3 linked regions of the Drosophila melanogaster genome follow. The protein of the gene in region 2 interacts with the protein of the main gene of each other region in a pairwise test. Each region holds a gene or a part of one and is shown on either strand. Other genes may lie near its edges.

Region 1 (5,121 bases), on a different chromosome or scaffold from region 2:
AGAAGCCTCAGTATTTGAACAATATTTGTATTTCGGGAGAGCCTCGCTCTTGGGTTCTTAAGATTAGGTAGCGTTGAAAGAGGGCAGTCAAATCTGCTTAGGTCAGGCTTTAGGATGTTTACAAGAACGGCTGCGCTGCCAAAGATAAACGAATGCTGCGCAGCTGGGATACGTTATGGAAAATTACTAGAGTGCATTACTGATTTCTTTGAAATAATGGAAGTGGCTGGTTTGGACCACCCAAATACGTCACTATATATATATATATAATTTTTATAATTATAATATATAATATTATAATTTTTAATAAATGAACTGCAAGCTAAGGGCTTTATTTCCTGCGACTGAACTTAAGTGGTTATTATAAGTTTATTAAGTGGTTATATATCTTTGGGAAAAATATTTCAGATATTTTTAAATTTGTGACTTCGTGTTTGGAAGTAGCCTGGTTGTCTAGTGTCGCGCCACTAACCAAATAACCTATTTACCTTTTTACTGAAATTCCCACATCTTATTGCACTTCGCTTGAATCTACACCAAATTTCCATTATCTTGATTTTTTGAATTTTCTACGTTAGCTTTGAACCGAAAATGGTGGTTACTCGCAGTGCAGCTACGAAGAAGCAGAACCAAGTGCTGACCTTATCTGACCAGAACATCCTAGCAGAATCTTCGAGGACCAAAGGACCTCCTGTGCCCAAGAAGAATGTTAAGAAATTGCCGACTGCACGTCAGTGTGTCAAGGTGGCTGCAAATCTTCTAGACGCACAAGAACCTAACGAAAATGAAGTAAGAAATATCCAAAGATATATAAATATTTGTTCAAACATTACAAAATATAAAATATTTAGAACACAGGAACCCAAAGGAAGGATGGAAAGCAACTGGATTCCAAATTGAGTTCCACAGTCCAAAATACAGAAGCAGCGAGGTCCAAAGAAACTCCTGCACCCAAGAAGAATGTTAAGAAACTGCAGGCTGCACTTCCGTGCGCCGACGCGGCTGCAAATCTTTTGGAGGAACAAGCATCTAATGAAATGAATGAAGAAGGACCTCCTGTGCCCAAGAAAAATGTGAAGAAACTTCCGGCTGCACGTCAGTGTGTCAAGGTGGCTGCAAATCTTCTAGACGCACAAGAATCTATCGAAAATGAAGTAAGAAATATCCAAAGATATAAAAATATTTGTTCAAACATTACAAAATATAAAATATTTAGAAAACAGGAACAAAAAGGAAGGATGGGAAGCAACTGCAGGCACAAAATTCGAATGAAAATGAAGTAAGAAATATCAAAAGATATGCATATATTAAAATATTATAAAATATATAATATATTTAGAAAACAAGCACATTAAAGAAGGATAAAAAACTACTGGCTTCCAAAACTCCAGAAGCAGCGACAAACGATAATGTAAAATGAAGATACAGATACTAATAATATTAGTATTTATAAAATTCCAATTTTAGGCAAATCCAAATATGAAACCAAGCCTAAAGAAGTCGACAAGGGAGCACAAGTCCAAAAAGTGTAATGACATTCAAAAAGCTGGAAAAGATCACATCGAACATCAAGCCGAATAATTTGTATCACGTTGCGTTAATTGTTTTTGTTTTTAAAGTTCAAAATTGATTTTAGTTGCTTTTATAAGCAAAAATATAAATATAAATAATTAAGAATACCTAATAACAAAGAATGCCGAACAGTGAGGTTACCTTTTAAAAAGCCGTTACACGCAGGGTTCGTTTCCCGGCTAAATGGTTACCCGAGCTCCCAACCTGCCACTGGTTGCGGTGCCGTGTATTGTCAACGTTTTCCAAAAACGGAGGTACGGTCACTCCAGTCTCGGGCGCTCTCATTTTTCGTTCGAATTCTGACCGGGCGGGTTTATTTTATCATTGCTCCGCGACTTCGAATACGAGACCGGTGTTGTGCGCTCCTGATAACTGCGATATATTGAGCGCGAGCGCCATGTCCTTTTGCTGGAAGTAGAATTTGAAAAGTGCAGAGATCACGGCTTGGATTGCCAAGGAACAACGGTGTTGAGACTGAATATATTTTTTGTGCGCTGTTTCGAAATAGAACCGTTAATTGGAATTGGCAGTAAGAAGCAGAGAGGCGGACGATATTCCGGTGAAATCTTCGCCAGGCGGAAACATCGATCAAAACAAAGTGCATGCTAAAAACATAAAAGATTCAACATGTTCGAACTAGAGGATTATTCGAGCGGCATACATGAGGGATTCTTCAGCAAATATGCGGTGAGTTGAAACAAAAAAGGCGAGCTAAGCGAGAATAATAACTTTTCGCGAACATTTCGCCGGCCGGCCACACGCACCCATACACTCGCATGTGCCGAGACACAGACAGGCGCAATTTTTGAATTTAACGTTCGGTCTCCACGTTCCCCACACCCCAACTGTTCCCATACCGACATGAAGAGCAAAACCCACCACCAAGAACAGTTTGGCGGCGAAACTTTGGTTCCACTCGCCATCTCGCTCGCCCCTGCGGCCAAATATTCCCCGCCTCGCTCGCTCCAAAGCTGTGTTGTTGACTCGCCAATTCGCCCTCGCCGCGTTTAACGTTTGTGTGTGTGTGTGTCTGTGTTTACATTTGATCGTTAAACTTTGAAAAATTTCTTTTTCGCCCAAAAAATTGATGATTAATTACAACCGGAACAGCGGAGCGCCGATAAAAAATAATGGAAGTATAGTACCATTGCGTTTGAGGAAGTCTGCTGTTTATTTTGGGGGTTACTAACTCGGCTAGCCGCAGAATTCACCTCTGTTAAGCGACTGTTATTTGCACTTAATTGTGGACATCAATTCACTTTTCACGGGAGGGGATTGCCTGTATTATTCTACTTGTATTATTAAGACACTTGGAGTATTTTACTTTGGCGCACACAGCACAAGTCTTTCTTTTGTTGTAGCCATTCGCAATTATTTGGCTTATTTATTTTCTGTCACACACAGCGGCGGATGAAACAATAGCACACCTTATAATATATTATTTCTTGCAATTTATAAGGTTTAAGAATTTCTTATCTTCATTTTCAAAGAGTAACTCTATAATATAACACAGTATGAGAGGAGAAGGTACCAAAGATTTTTTTTTAACTAAAAGGATTATTTCTTCGGCATAAATTTACTTGTATAATGTTAGAGAGTTTCTCTGGTCGAGTATTCACTGTAGAGTTACGTTATCACATTCTACAGTTTAGCACAGGTTAATAAATTTGCAGTCCTATTTCCTTGGCCGCCAATATGCGCTGAGTACTTTAGTGTGTTTCTCCGCCGGTTCGCTGAGTTTTTCGTCTGGTGGCCTCTTCTTCGGCTTTTGCGTTTTAAACTTTTTGAAGGCCAAGCGTTCACCTCGAATCTCTCGGTTTTCATCTGTTTTAGTCACAGTCCAACCAAGTGGCTAATGATTTTGGGCCAGAAAGTGGGGGTATGGCTTTGAAGTTTGGGCTAAACTGACCGCCTAAATTGTCAGTCCGTCAGAGGAACTGACCTCCAGCAAAGTTTGCACATTTTCAATAGAAAATCAAACGAACGGACTTGGGAAAACACGTGCGCCTGTTACTTGCAACATGCAAAACTCCACACACGCACGCACGCACAATCTACAAGTGTTGCGAATTCCCAGTAAGCGTGTGCGTGTGCGAAGGGGAACAAAGAAAAGCAAACAAAATAAATCGTTTCATCTTGTACGCTTGTGTAAGTGCGAGAACAAAAGAAAACCAAAAAGCAACAGTCGACAATAATTCCCACATCAAAAGCTTTTCTCCCACCTTCTCCATCTCTTTCGCACTGTTCTCTTTCGTCTCCGAGGTTTCGGCAACCTTTGTTGCAGCAACATGGCAGCAAAGAAAGAAATTAGTGAAACAAAAATCAAAGCAAAAAGCCAACAAAGAACAACTTCAAAGTTCAACGCGCTTTCCACTGGGGCCTTTCAAATGGGGCGATTTCAGTGGGTGGCGGCACACCTACCCCAAAATGCGCAGTAGGTGGGAAAGAGATGGGCGCACAAGGATTGTGGGAGGACTGCCACTTGTCTGCATTTCGCTCTGCTGCCGAATATGAGCGCCCAGCTGTATGCCGCATAGATTTTCTCACGGCCCCAGCGCACACACACCCATACACATATTGGTACAAACACTAGTCTGGGGGCAGTTGCTATTACCCATATAAAACTTCAGAGCGCCTAAATCGTGTAATACCAAAAAGATACTTGAAACTATGCAAAGTAAGATATAGACTAATTTAAATACAACTTATTATGTGTCCACATGTCATTTGCATTTTGAAGAAATGCATTGGCTTCTCTCCCTTTCTTCTTTCTATAAGAAAATGTAAATCTCCATGAAGCCAACTGTTTGTTTGTATGGCAATTAAGTTAATGAACAAAGAAGTTATGGAGCTTGTGTAATTCGTAAAAATCGTAAGATGCCTCACCAAACCAACTAATTGCCCCAAAAAACCCTCACAGTCTCAGCAAATGGACTTCCAGGCTAAAAATAAACATTTGGCAAATCTGATTTCTTGAAACACATGCAGTTAATGAATGAAATAACCCGGAGAATCTGCCGATTTACTTCCCGCTAAACCGAGAGATTTGAAAACGATTTACGACCCTGGATCATCCTGTGTGTTTAAGGATGTTACTTTGCGTTGGGAATCGGTCGGCAATTCAGGCAAGCGACTTTTATTGCACCATAAAGTAATTTACAAATGGGCGCTCATGACCTCAGGGAAGATTCGTCCAGAAAGGTCCACGGAAATCGTTGGTTTTACCTGAGTGAGGGATTCCATTGCATTCCATTCCTTACCATCCTCCTCCCATCATTATTTACCATCTCTTCTTGTGTTTTCTCTGTGTGTCAGCAGAGTGATTTCCTTCGGAGGTGAAAGGCGGAGAAAGATGGAAAATATGTGCAACAAAAGAAACGAAGCAGATGCAGGAAATGCAGGAGAACACTTACAACCATCGCCAGTGACGAATCCTGCCGAGAAAGGACGAAAATACCCTCGTCGGCAGCTCCTTGGTTCGTTGCACAACTTGAAAAGGCCAACTGTAGGCAGCTGCAACAGAGCAGCAAAAACTTTTTATGGCCTACG
Region 2 (5,803 bases):
GTTCGATTCGATTGCTACAATTTATCAAAATAAAATAGATTTAAATTCCTTATTTTCAACAACCGATGAAACAACGGGAAACGGGATTACTTCCACTAACAATTTTTACCGTTTCCGTGCTTTTTTTGAAACAAGTGCTCAAAGAACAATATAATAAGGTCATACTTAGAATCTTGCAATTTAAATTACTGTACGGCTTAAGATTCCATGCCAAATTGTATATTTTAAATTTATTTGTATTCAGCGCCGGATTGGTTACACCGCATATTTTTCAAGGATGTCGTGTCATTTATTAGGCGCAACATATATTTGCCGCACAGGGGTACGTGTTTCCTTAATATTAAATGACTGTTTTTACAAGTTGCAGAACACTAAGTATATTTAAATTTCACACGATACTTAACATTTTATCAAATTAATGTTAATATTTCTATCTGGGTCCTTCGGCTACGGCGACGGGCAGGACATTACCAAGACTGCTAGCAGAATGCTTTATCGCACTGTACGTGGACTCCTTTTTGTTCTCCTCACCGGCGGGTTTGCTGAAATACCATTCCTTCTTATTGGTCAGAAATAGCAGCATCAGGGCGGGCAGGTGTATCAGTGAAAATCGGAACAGCTTCCGCGAGCTCCCACTATCTGACTTTTCATGAAACTTGTACGCTGCAAGCAAACAGAACGTATTAGACATAACATATAGGATTCCATGGTTAATGAGTATATTTACCAAGGTAGGCGAAGTACGCGTTCAGAGGTAGTGTTTCCAAGGCAAACCAGTAGTTCGTGACGTCCAGTACGGGTGCCATGGCTGAAAGTCCGACAATAGCCACCGAATATCGCAGCGCAGTGCGGCGACAAAGACCCGGATTGGTAACGGCCATCATTCGGTAGCCGGCACGTGAATAATCCGGCCGGAGGTTCCACGACAGAGCGTTGAAGTGCGGGAACTGCCACGCGTACAGCACTCCGGCTAGGATCATGGCGCCGGCGTCCAGGGTGGCTGCACAACCAGCCCATCCCATCAGCGGAGGAATGGCGCCCACTATCGATCCCACCCAGGTATTGACTATGCTGATACGCTTCATCGGTGTGTATATCGTGGTGTAGAGGAACAGGTTACCCGCTCCCAGCGCCGCCGTCAATCCATTTACTCCGAAATACAGCATACTTAAGCCGGCAGTTGCCGACACCGCGGCGAAGGTAACTGCATGCAGTGGTGTCATTTGCCCCGTGACGAGCACCCGGTTCTTTGTCCTCGACATCTGCGAATCGAAAGGAACTTCGTGATACTGATTAATGGCATTCGCCGCAGCCGAAACGAGTCCTGTGCCCAGGGTGCACATCGCAAACGTTGTGGGATCGAAAGCAGCTGGCGCCATGGCATAGCCGCCCATCGTTGTAATGACCACCAGCGCTGCAACGAAAGACAACTATGGTCGATGCTTGGCCAATGTTTAACCATCTCGCTTACATGTCAGCCGGAACTTGGATAGCTTCTTGTACTGGCTAAGAGTTTTTCCGGGCATGGTGTACGGACTAGGCATCCAGGTAATTTGACTATCGGGTAAATGCTGGACCTTTCCCGCCTGGGATACTGGCGACGCTGTAGTGACACCTTTGTCATCTTGGGAAGCTATCGTTGCTGCAGTGGAGTACTGAAAATTATTGGAAAGTTATAGTTTGTTATAGTGGTTTGTTGCGTAATGGCCAAGAACCTCACCCGAATGAGCACCAAATCAACCGGCGTTCTTAGCTGGGATTGCACCCGCCGAATTCCTTTGAATAATATCATTATTATTCACTTATTAGTTAGGTCTACGGTTATTTCATTTTTCTAGTTGTGTTTGGATTTCTATTACTTTTATATACAATGTTATGGTTTTTTAAATCACATTGTGCTTAAGTGTTACCATATCTCAAAATGAGAAAAATACTGAGTGCAAAAAATTTAATCAGAGGTATTCATAAATTGTTGGGATTGGGATTTTTTAAGAACTTTGAAAAAAACATAGCAAAAAGTTTTAAGCCTATTCCTTAAATAATAATAATATAAGTTTACATTAAAAGAAAATTTTGTGCCATGGTAAAACTCAGAGACATTTTCAGTTTCGATTTTTAAGTTGTTTTCTCAGTTTTTGCATATAAAAAAATAATAAATAATTAATAAATTTTTTGTTCCTTAGTAAATTAAATTATTTGTAATAATATTTAGTATTGTTAACAACACTATATACCAAGATTTGCGCATGCGTCAAACGTGTAATTTGCTTTATATGTGTGGGAGTAATTTTTACATCTGAATGCAGGAAGGCCGAAGTCCTTGTAAGTCTTCATTGATTCAATAATTAACATTTTAAACAAACGGAATACATTTTAGTTGTTAACAGTCGAAACAATCGTTTAAATAAAGCAAATACAAGAAATTATAATTGCAAGTAACTTTGACTATCTTCAGATATTTCTGTTACAAAAATTTGCACCTACACCAACTTTTTTCGGCTTGATTCTTGTTTCTCGATTTTAAGAATATACAAAATGTCAGTTCATTCATGTGTTGTTAAGGACAATGTAACATCTAAACACATATGAAGTTAAATACCAAATTGACTCTTAAAGTAATTTATAAATACGATAATGAGTTGAACTAAAGAAAATAGTGGAGTGGAGATAGTGGTGTCCTTTAGCAAGTAAAAGGAAATAAGAAAAAAACCATTTTATTGCTTTTACTATGTTTTAATTATGTTATGTTATTAATACACTGTAGTTGTAATCAATATTTAAGTCATCTAAACTTTTTTATTTCTTCTAGACAACTTATTCCAATGCCCATGCCAAGAATGGATATCTATATAACAAAGGGCATCACCAACCCCAACTACCCAGGATTTCAAAAGTTCGCGCATACCCTTTCCGATGACTACATAGAGTACTCCGACATGGAGTGCAATGAAAGCGATCTAACCGACAGCGATAGAGAAGATGACCCAACGTTCCCAAGTAAGATGGCCAAGGAATCGGGCTCGGAAACCTTTAAGAATGGCCAAGATTCGATTTTAAGTAACTGCGACAATGGAAACACATATATATCAGAAGAGGAAAGCGTGAACCGATCGGAAAACATTCCGGATATTGTAAATGAAAACTATAGTGCAACGTCGGAAAACTCCAAGCGAGCTTTGCAAAAACCTGACCTTATCTACAATCTAAGCCAGAATTATACGACCAATCCTGAGTTTCCATCCTGGTCATGTACAATTAATTCGAAATACGAAGGGCAGTTGCAAGGCCAAAGTCCTATCGATATTGTTGGTGATTTTGGCGGAGAAGTGGAACGTGAATTCGAGCTACTTCTCACTGGATATAAAAACAAGAAGGAAGCGGATGAGTTGAAGGGATCAAATTTAGATAAGGTATGTAGTTAGTTAAAATAAAAGAGATCAGGCACGTAAAAGCATAATTGTACCTTGCAGATTTGCGATGCAGAACTATCAAATGGAACGGAGGCTCTTAAGCAAACATCCTCGACGCGATTGTCCGGGAATAGTACTCGAAAAAATAAAAAGAAGAACACACCGTACGGACATCAGATCGTGAAAACGAAGCATCCAAAGCCGTCTCATGACGAACGTCAATTGCCACCGGACACGTTCGACTACAAAACGTATAGCCAACGAAAATATATCATTTGTGATGCTGACCAATACTCGTCCGTTCCGGAAAAGAACAAAAACGATAGTCCGAACCTAAATCAGGCTGAAATACCCAACATGAGCAGCTTGGAAATCGGTGGAAGTGGAAGCCAGCAGAATCTGGACGAGGACAATAACAAGGTGGCTAGTCGGAAGTACTCAAATCAATCGCGCTGGTCTCAGTACTTGGAAGATCCCATCAAGTACTCCAAAGATCCATGCTCCACCATGGTTTTAGGTAATTTCAAATATGAATTAATCGTTATAGATTCTTGAGTATATTAATATTTAAATTTTTATAGAACAATTTGATGCGTACAAGATTGCAAACGATATGGATGTAGAAACATTGCAAAACCATTATAAAAAGGTTAAACAGATAGAGAAAAAGGTAGGTACAATATAATCGGAATAATAATATCATTTATTAAATATATATTCCAATTACAGCGGCGATTCAATCGAGATGAGATACGCAAGAGATTGGCAATCGGAGATAAAGATTCTTTAAATAATGGTAAGACCAAAGATATTCTTTCATTACTATATTTTCTTAAATATTATATTTTATATTTAGACATTAAGAAGGAGGAATTTCTAACCGGATCCGATAATGAAAGTTATAGCTCCGACTCTGAGACGTGTCCAAAACTATCAAGTGGAGTACTTCGCAAGCAATCTGAATTCTGTGAAACGAAACGCAATAAGGAATTTGAAAACGATAAAATCTTTCAAAAGAACCAAATCAACCAAGATAAAAGCATGAATCATATGAATGGCAATCCCATTGGTACAACAGATTATCCGTCGGATGAAAACTTGTTTTTCTTTGCGAATCAATCAAAACTTCAAATAGAGGTTAGAATAGCACTAGCTCAATCGAAGGAAATAGCTCAGATGAAAGTAAAGGTGTGTTTTCCACAGGATTTATTTATTTTTTATTCAAATGTAATTGTAATTATCTATTTGTAGGCAAGGAAACATGGCGTAACTCCCATTGTGGACGTAATTCGATCAATGCTGTGTGATGTTGGCATCAAAATGAACTCCAACCATCGATGGATTTCGAGGCAGCTGCTCACTGGAATCCAAGTTCCGACTCTCCAGCTATTGGTCAACAATCTCCAGGAATATATTGAAAACCTAAACGTCACACTACTGGAGAGCCTTAAGGAGCGAGACGATTTGAATTCGGACCAAGATGATATATTACACGATCTCGAAAAAATAAATAACTTTTTGTATGTATACAAATATTATCTTATTTTAACTGTGTGTATTAATGTTAATATTTCTTTCTAGTGTTTTCCAACAGCAATCTGGACAGCAAGTCAATAAAATAGTTAGACACGGCCATTTAGATTAAACACTTGAAATTGCATATTTTATTAACAACTTGTTTACAAATATTATAATCTCTTGTATAATTGATAACAATCTACCGAGACCGTTTATAAAACACATACTCAAATGTTCTTCAAACACTGTTATATTTATGTAATTATATAAAGCTAAATAAATAAAAAATACAACTAATTATTTATATTAACACTAAACTAAATTTGTTTTTATAAAACACCTGTGTATTGATACAAGCAGTTATTTATATATTTATTTGATTATCTAAAATGATATATTTTTTAAGAATATGATATAAATGTGAGTGGAACGGTTCGAAATAATTTTGTTTCTTGATCGTTTCAAAGTTAGGCGTTTTGAAAGTGCGGCATTTGATCAACATGTCGCACGGTAACACTAATAATGACTTTAATTTGGCGCCTTTTTGTGCTTGCAACAATCAATTTGCCGCCTCTTGTGAAATATAGCAGTCAAGATGTTGAAGAACAAGTCCATGAAAACCTCAAAGTTATATGTTATTAAGAGAGGTGGGTTACAATTCCTTGTCGCTATGACTGTTCTTAATATATTTATTTCAGATGGCAGGCAGGAGGAGGTGCACTTCGATAAAATAACCTCAAGAATCCAGAAGCTTTGCTACAACTTGAACATGGATTTTGTTGATCCTGTAAGTTTGTTTCTATTGTTTAAAGGTGCTCATCACACAGGTTGCACTCGAACCTAGTAAGTATGATGCGTATTTATATGTGATGGGG
Region 3 (6,782 bases), on a different chromosome or scaffold from region 2:
AGCAAAGGCCACGGCAGGTGGGAGCGTGCAAAACGTGGGCGTGGCAGATTGCGAACCAGATCCACGGTATTGCCAAACTTTTGGCTGTCAGGCGAGGAGAAAGTGCAAAGAGGTGAAAAAGCTTTTTGAATATGAATTTTTCCCCGCTTCACTCACTTATATATATATACATTAGTGTACAAGTAATGTGTATATGAGTTCAGAATGATATAGTTTCTTCATACTCACGCCACCGTCTCGTGATGATCGATGCTAAACAAAGCGGATAGTTCAATGAGCGGAGATCGCAATCTTAAATCTTGCTCAGCGGCCACGTAATCCAATTGGTGACCCAGCAGCCAGACCATCTCCTGGGCCCACGTCGATCCGGTTCGTGGATAGGACACCATCCATACGTCGTCCTGGTAAACGGGAAGCGATCGAATCGATTCGCCCAGCTCCACGTACTTTCTGGGAATGATAAACTGATCGGGGAGGACCTCAACAAAGCAATTTTGTACCGGAAAGACTGCATTAGTGCGTCGAAGTATGTCCTCCTCGAGTTCACGATAAATTAGCTGCATGGCTCCTGTATCTTTCAACTGCTTTGGCCAAATTACCAAAGCACAATGAAGTCAAAGTCAAGTCGAGTGGCAAGTGCAAGTGCAAGTTCAAACGAGGCACTGAAATGGGACTTTCCACCAACACGAACTGGTTTGTGCAGCAAAAAAAGCTCTTGTAAGGTGAATTAAGGCTTCAATAAGTTGCCTGAAACTAAGATCAGGTTTTTGAATAACTAAAATTCAAAATCATTAAAGTGAAAATCCTGAAAATTGTCTTATTGGTCTGATTATTTAAAGTGATCTCACTTAGCTAAGTTTGACTGTAGTTGGATGGCTTTTCTTTTGCGGTTCGTTGACTTCAAATAGATCGTAAAATCTGTAGACAACAACTATGATTAGAAATAGTTAGATAACCATCTCATGACCCTTATGACACAGTTTAAAATAAAAGGTTCTGTTTAAATTTAAATATATATTTCAATCCGTAATACTATATACACACGAAATCTTTATCTCAATTACAGCTAAATCGTCTTAATGAGCCTTCGTCTTCTACTTTTCTTGTCCGGATCTCGCTTGTCCATTTGCAACTGGAATACTACAACTCGTTGTGGATATATTCCGTGGTCACCTTGGCCTCGCCCTCGTGGAAACCATTGCAGTCGACTGGATATTTGGCCTGTTGGCGTGCAATCGCAGAAATATCGGTTAGAAAGCGGCGACAAATGGAAGTACAGAGAGAGAAAAATATATATGATTATTTACTCGTACAAAAAGAGTACCAAAAGAATACGTTCTACGTAACGCAGCATACTTTTAGTTATCTTTTATATCCCCTTAGAGATTTCATCATCTTCATGCTAGATGTATTCCATTTCTTTTCAGTGCATCACTGTGGCCGTTATTACTCACCTCGCAATTGTATGGCGCATTGATCACACCGAAGAGGGTCCAGAACGGCGTACCGGTTTCCGTGCTAATGAAGATTGCCGCACCCATGCTCCCGATCTTAACGATTTTCGGACTAACTCCGGCAATTAGACTGGACGCCGATGTCGGGCGATTCAGTTGGCTCTGCTTGGGCTGGTGGTGCTGCTGGTATTGGTCGTGCTGCCTCTGCTTCTCCTGCTGATCGAGAGCCGCTGCATTCAGCTGACAGAGCACGTAGCGATCGCATTGCGGCGACTTGGAGATGTATCTGTAGGCGCGATGGACTTTCAGCACCGGTTCAATAACCTGTTTGCCATTTGATCCATTGACGGATGCGTGGAGGAGAAAATAGTGGCGTAATTAATTTGATTTGCTTCAAACTAAGTGTTTAGTACATCTAACTGGGCCAAGTTATTCAATTATAACAAATTCATTTTACGTCGAAATGGGTCAAAGCATTTGCAAGAATCATATGGGATAAATTAGTTATAGTTTTCAATGATATAGTTCAGTAATGTAATCAGTTCCTATTAGCTCCTTTAGTACTTTATACTTTATACTTTAGCTACTATCAGCAACTTCAGTAAAGTAATCATACATATAAGGATCATATAGTACATAACTTTAAACAGAATTACTATTTAATTAGTGCTATTATTTTCACCTCAGCTATTTCCTATTCTCAGATATATATCTCCAATTACCAACTGCGTTGCCCAGTTCCCATATCAGTTAAGTTCAGAGTTCAGAGAATCTGCTTACCTCCAGGTTAAGCGTATCCGTTAGCTTGTCGCTGATCTCGGTGGCATTGAACTGAAGTAATCCGCGTGCCTGGCCAAGTTTTAGCAGTTCCTTGGCATAGCCCACGGCTGGCTTGACGTACTGCCTCGAATCGATCTTAACGTTCAGATGATGCTTGGCCACATGGTCCAAGAGATTCGAGATGGTCTCGCCCGGACGGGAGGGATCGAAGTGGGTCTGCTTGGGGTAACCTTGAGACTTCAGCAAGCCGTTAAACATGATCTGTGCCGTCTGGAAGTACCTGTATAAGAAAGTGCCGAGAAGCGGGCAAATTGATGAGTTTCAATCACGCAGCACCGCCGAGTGAAAGGGTCTCTAGAAAGTGGAAGTTGTTGTGCGCTTTTGTTGTTGTCTAACGTTGGGGGCAACGCAAAACAAAAACAAACAAAAAATAAGAAGACCAAGAAGTCTGAGAAGCCTGACCTACTTAAGAATCATGCAAAAATGTCTGAATCCAATGTGTACACAAAGAAAAATTGCTTAAATTAATGTTTTTCTGCTCGCTGCATGCTGATTTCTTATAATTCCCAAGTCGTTTTTCCTATGTGAAAAGTATTCATAGTTTTGGAGATTTGCTTAAGGAATACATATAATTAATACTTATACTATTGCATTTTAAATAACAGTTTCGATTGGTCATTATGAATTGAGAAGATTTGTAGATAAGAATTACTTGATTTTTCAGACATGTGTACCCGGTCTGCCAAGGCAATTTCCCCTGGCTAAAACCGCCAACCGGTTTTGGCCCGCTTTATTTATTTGTTTGTTTTAACGATGCCGTTGACTTCTGTATCTTCTGCATATCAACTGTAACTGTATCAGTGCCTGGACTTGGTACTTGCCACTGTTGTTGACCAGTTGGATTAGCAGGCACGTTCTAAAAGCAGCACCAGCACCGAAAAAAGTGGGTCAAAAGGTAGCCGCATCGAACATGCTCGATGGCCAAACGGGTTGTCGCTAACGGGAAATGGTTAGCACAGGCTTTGCCAGCAGCTGTTCGAAATCTGATTCTGAATTAGAATCGGAATGGGCATCGGATTTGGACTGGAAGGTGGTCTTGGAGTGTGACCAAGAATGGCAGCCAGGTGCTAAATGCACTGGGACCGTTGCAGAGCAGAACGTGATCCACAATTAACACGCTTTGGCCATCGCTGAAGATCGAGCCACGTTGGCCGGCCGAGACTCACCTGAGATACACCTCGGGATTGGCCAGGTAGCTGGCCCAGTCGGCCAGGTAGAGTGTGGCCGACTTGATCCAGCGGCGACGGAAGGATTGGTTATTCAGCGACTCGAAGAGCTTATCATAGTCCAGCTTGCCATCGGAACCCTTGAAGCCCTGGAGGTGGATAAGAGTAGAGTAATTAGCATTACAAATTGGTATTTAACATATTATTTTAGTAGCGTAACATTTCAGAATTTGAATTTGTATTTTAGCTAGGAAACAAATTTTAAATTGTTTTTTTTTCCGCTAATTGTTTCTATATCAATTTAAATGAGTATATATAGATTATTTTGTTTTAAAGATTTTCTCTACATTTTGTTTACGCATGTGTAGTCAAAATAGTTTACTCTTAATGTGTTCCTAAGGTCTTTAATATGTTGAATATTTTCCAATATTGTATTAAAAAGTGCTATATTTTATGCAAAAAGCGTACTAAAATCTAATAAAATGTTCTAACATCAAAACGTCAACAATATATAGTTAAGTCTGATTTATGCATCCACCTTCATGATTTTGTTAACTCCGGACTTCTCGTACAACGCATCAGCCAGCTCGGAGTTGGAGAAGTGATCCCACAGCACGTGAATGTGCTCCAGGAATGGGGGCAGCACCCAGGCGTGGCTCTTGTGCTTCTCCTGGGTGCTCTGACCCTCGGGACCGGCAAAGGAGCTAACCGCCTGCATGACCAGTGGCAGAAGGTTCATCAGTCCGTTCTCGGATTCCGGTTCCGTGGCGGTGGATCGCTTCTGCTGGTGATGATGTGTGGCCTTATCGTTGCCCTGGGTGTTCATGAAGGCGGATGCCACTTGCAGTATGGTATCCAGACCAATGCCAGATTCAGAGCCACCGCCATTGCTGCGCTTTTGCTGTGGAGTGGCTTCCTCGTCATCGCCCTGGGTGAACATCTCGAGGACATTGCCAATGATGGAGGGATCGAAGCCACCGCTCTGACCGCCCTGACTCTTGGACAGAAGACTGCCCAGGCCCGAGAGGATCTGCATGGCGCCACCAGCACCGCCGCCTCCTGCTCCGGCGCCTCCAGATTTGCCACTCGCTTGCATGAAGGTGCCAATTAGCGAGGCCACACCCGCCAAACCAGCACCGCCTCCTCCATTGTTGCCACCGTTCTGGTTGGACAGCGCCTCCTGGAAGAACATGGAGGCCATGTCCAGCAGCGGATTGGACTCATCCTCGCTGGCCATAGATGGACCCAGCGGCTGGAGGCACAGCAGGCAGGCCAAGAGCAGAGCTCGTCTCACGTACATTTTGCTTCAGGAACTTTCACAATCACACACTTGAGATACTTTTGGGCCAATTAAGCGACGCAGCCACAAAACGCGGAAGACGCTCCACTGAGCACACGAAATATATGTATGTATATACTATAACTATGTATATCTAAACAGATATTACAAAGATTGGAGAACGGAGAACGGAGATCGCAGCGTAGAGCAGCCAGCACAGCCGAAAACTTTCTTTCTTCTGCGGCTCTGGGCCAGTTTGTAACACTTCTTAAGCCAACGATTCTTTGGGGGCCATCGAACATGTTCGATGTGAGCGCTCTCTGGACTCCCCTTTCTTCGGATCCAAATCTCCAACTCTATTCGCCGCTCTCACCTGTTTCCAGACAGACTCTCTCTCGCGGAATGGAATTCTTTACGCCTGCGCTTTGAACACCACGTCAGGTTCGCCGTCTTCAGAAAAAAAAACGAGACAAAAGAGAGGGCGAAGAAAGAGCAGAAGAGCTTTGGTTTTTACAGAGAAAAAAAATTGTTATGCAAAGATCAGAACCGCTTATTGTGTTGGGATAGAGTTAAGTTAAATGTTTATATAGAGAGATCAAAATAACATATTAAGATAATCATAACACTTTCTCTATTATCAAAAGTAGTATCATTTTGTAGAGATCAAATAAAGAAATTATGGTTGCAACCTTTTTTTTTATGTGTACCCGGTTCTATGGCTCACACTTTGTTTATGTTTCCTACCTACCCACCTACTTTCTTTTTACACACGATTGTCCGCTTTGAAAGTTCTCTTCTCGGAATGGTGGTTGGTGGACATTGGCAGTCAGATTTGATGGCAACGCTTTCGTTAAAGCCGCCTGTTTGGGCTTTTTATGTAAATACGAGTATCAACACAACATTTGTGGCTCTTTATTTGGGTATACTATACTACAATGAAAAAGAACTGGTCTTGGAAAATTGAAAAATTAACATTAATTAAATTAAAACTACATTTTAAACCATATTTTTTCACAAATTAATTTTGTGTAAATGTTAAATCGTTTATAAACCTTTTCGATTGAATTCTCAATGCACACTATACCCATTTTCAATCTAAATAAAAGTTATATTAAATATTTAATAACATTGAATATCCGCTATATACAAGGGTATATATTGGTTTGCACCTTAAATTAAAGTTCTCATTTCAAGTTCTTTAAGCAACCCAATGAAATACTCGGCACATTTGTCACCTGGACTCTTGGTGGTGGGTTGATTTTGGCTCTCGTCATGGCCCATTTCGAATTTATTCAACAAACAGATTGCAGTGTGCCCGTTACATAAATTTATAATCAGTTTAATGGGTCCGTCATGCCGAACTAAAGAGGTGTATCTGTATCGATCTTGTTCACTTCTTTACTTTCTTCACGTTCTTCCAACTCCGAAGCAAGATGACCTTTCCCCATAAATTAGTTATTAGCATATTAAATAATTCGAATAGAGTTTCATTCTTATGTTTGTAAATTCAAAGTTATTGGAATAAACTCCACTCTAAAGTACTTGTCACATACAAAATTCGCGGCCTTTTTTAAATTGAATTATGTATTTGAACTCATACCATATTATCGATTGTTATTAGTTGGTGTGCGGTATATCGATGTTCCTTAATGAAATAAGTGTGTAAAATAAAATTTCAATTAGGAAATATTTAAATCCGCGATTTTTGAAAAAGTATTGCCAATATAAAAAATGATAAAATAATGTTGATAAAATGTTTAGGAAACTTAAAAAAAGAAGTGAATATGTTGGCCAGTGTACTTATCGATAACATCGATTGGTTTTCGCCACCAGCTGTTTGGCTGCGCAGAAAAGACGAAGACTTCGTTTTCTTGTTATTGTTGAATAAACTAACAAAATTACCTATAATTGCTGGCACTACAAAGTGCAATAGCAATCAGGATGGGCAATCAACTGGTGGGCATTGCCCCTTCGCAAATTTATGCGGTGGAACACTATTTTTCCGGCCAGTTTGGATCCGAGATCGCCTTCAGTTCCAAGTAA

What was found.
Region 1: the proteins of Schip1 (region 2) and jumu interact in a two-hybrid assay, tested with the Drosophila melanogaster proteins (one large-scale study listed by BioGRID).
Region 3: the proteins of Schip1 (region 2) and CG8420 interact in a two-hybrid assay, tested with the Drosophila melanogaster proteins (one large-scale study listed by BioGRID).

The regions. Positions count from the first base shown.
Region 1 is NT_033777.3:10,348,329-10,353,449, forward strand, and holds the start of jumu (jumeau), read left to right. Parts: upstream 1-1,853; 5' UTR 1,854-2,199; coding exon 2,200-2,259; intron 2,260-5,121. Other genes in the region: CG31406 (uncharacterized protein), read left to right, coding at 592-789, 852-1,154, 1,217-1,279, 1,340-1,411, 1,468-1,581.
Region 2 is NT_033779.5:10,327,599-10,333,401, reverse strand, and holds Schip1 (schwannomin interacting protein 1), read left to right. Parts: upstream 1-2,285; 5' UTR 2,286-2,322; intron 2,323-2,809; 5' UTR 2,810-2,822; coding exon 2,823-3,410; intron 3,411-3,470; coding exon 3,471-3,927; intron 3,928-3,991; coding exon 3,992-4,080; intron 4,081-4,139; coding exon 4,140-4,206; intron 4,207-4,266; coding exon 4,267-4,598; intron 4,599-4,661; coding exon 4,662-4,930; intron 4,931-4,991; coding exon 4,992-5,055; 3' UTR 5,056-5,202; downstream 5,203-5,803. Other genes in the region: Cox10 (cytochrome c oxidase assembly factor 10), read right to left, coding at 431-663, 728-1,414, 1,472-1,655, 1,721-1,792; RnrL (ribonucleoside diphosphate reductase large subunit), read left to right, coding at 5,524-5,575, 5,627-5,715. UniProt on the Drosophila melanogaster protein: Regulator of the Hippo/SWH (Sav/Wts/Hpo) signaling pathway, a signaling pathway that plays a pivotal role in organ size control and tumor suppression by restricting proliferation and promoting apoptosis.
Region 3 is NT_033777.3:9,245,652-9,252,433, reverse strand, and holds CG8420 (uncharacterized protein), read right to left. Parts: upstream 4,986-6,782; 5' UTR 4,761-4,985; coding exon 3,999-4,760; intron 3,610-3,998; coding exon 3,461-3,609; intron 2,515-3,460; coding exon 2,235-2,514; intron 1,779-2,234; coding exon 1,455-1,778; intron 1,222-1,454; coding exon 1,141-1,221; 3' UTR 1,003-1,140; downstream 1-1,002. Other genes in the region: St2 (sulfotransferase 2), read right to left, coding at 1-84, 229-563; Vps15 (vacuolar protein sorting 15), read left to right, coding at 6,681-6,778.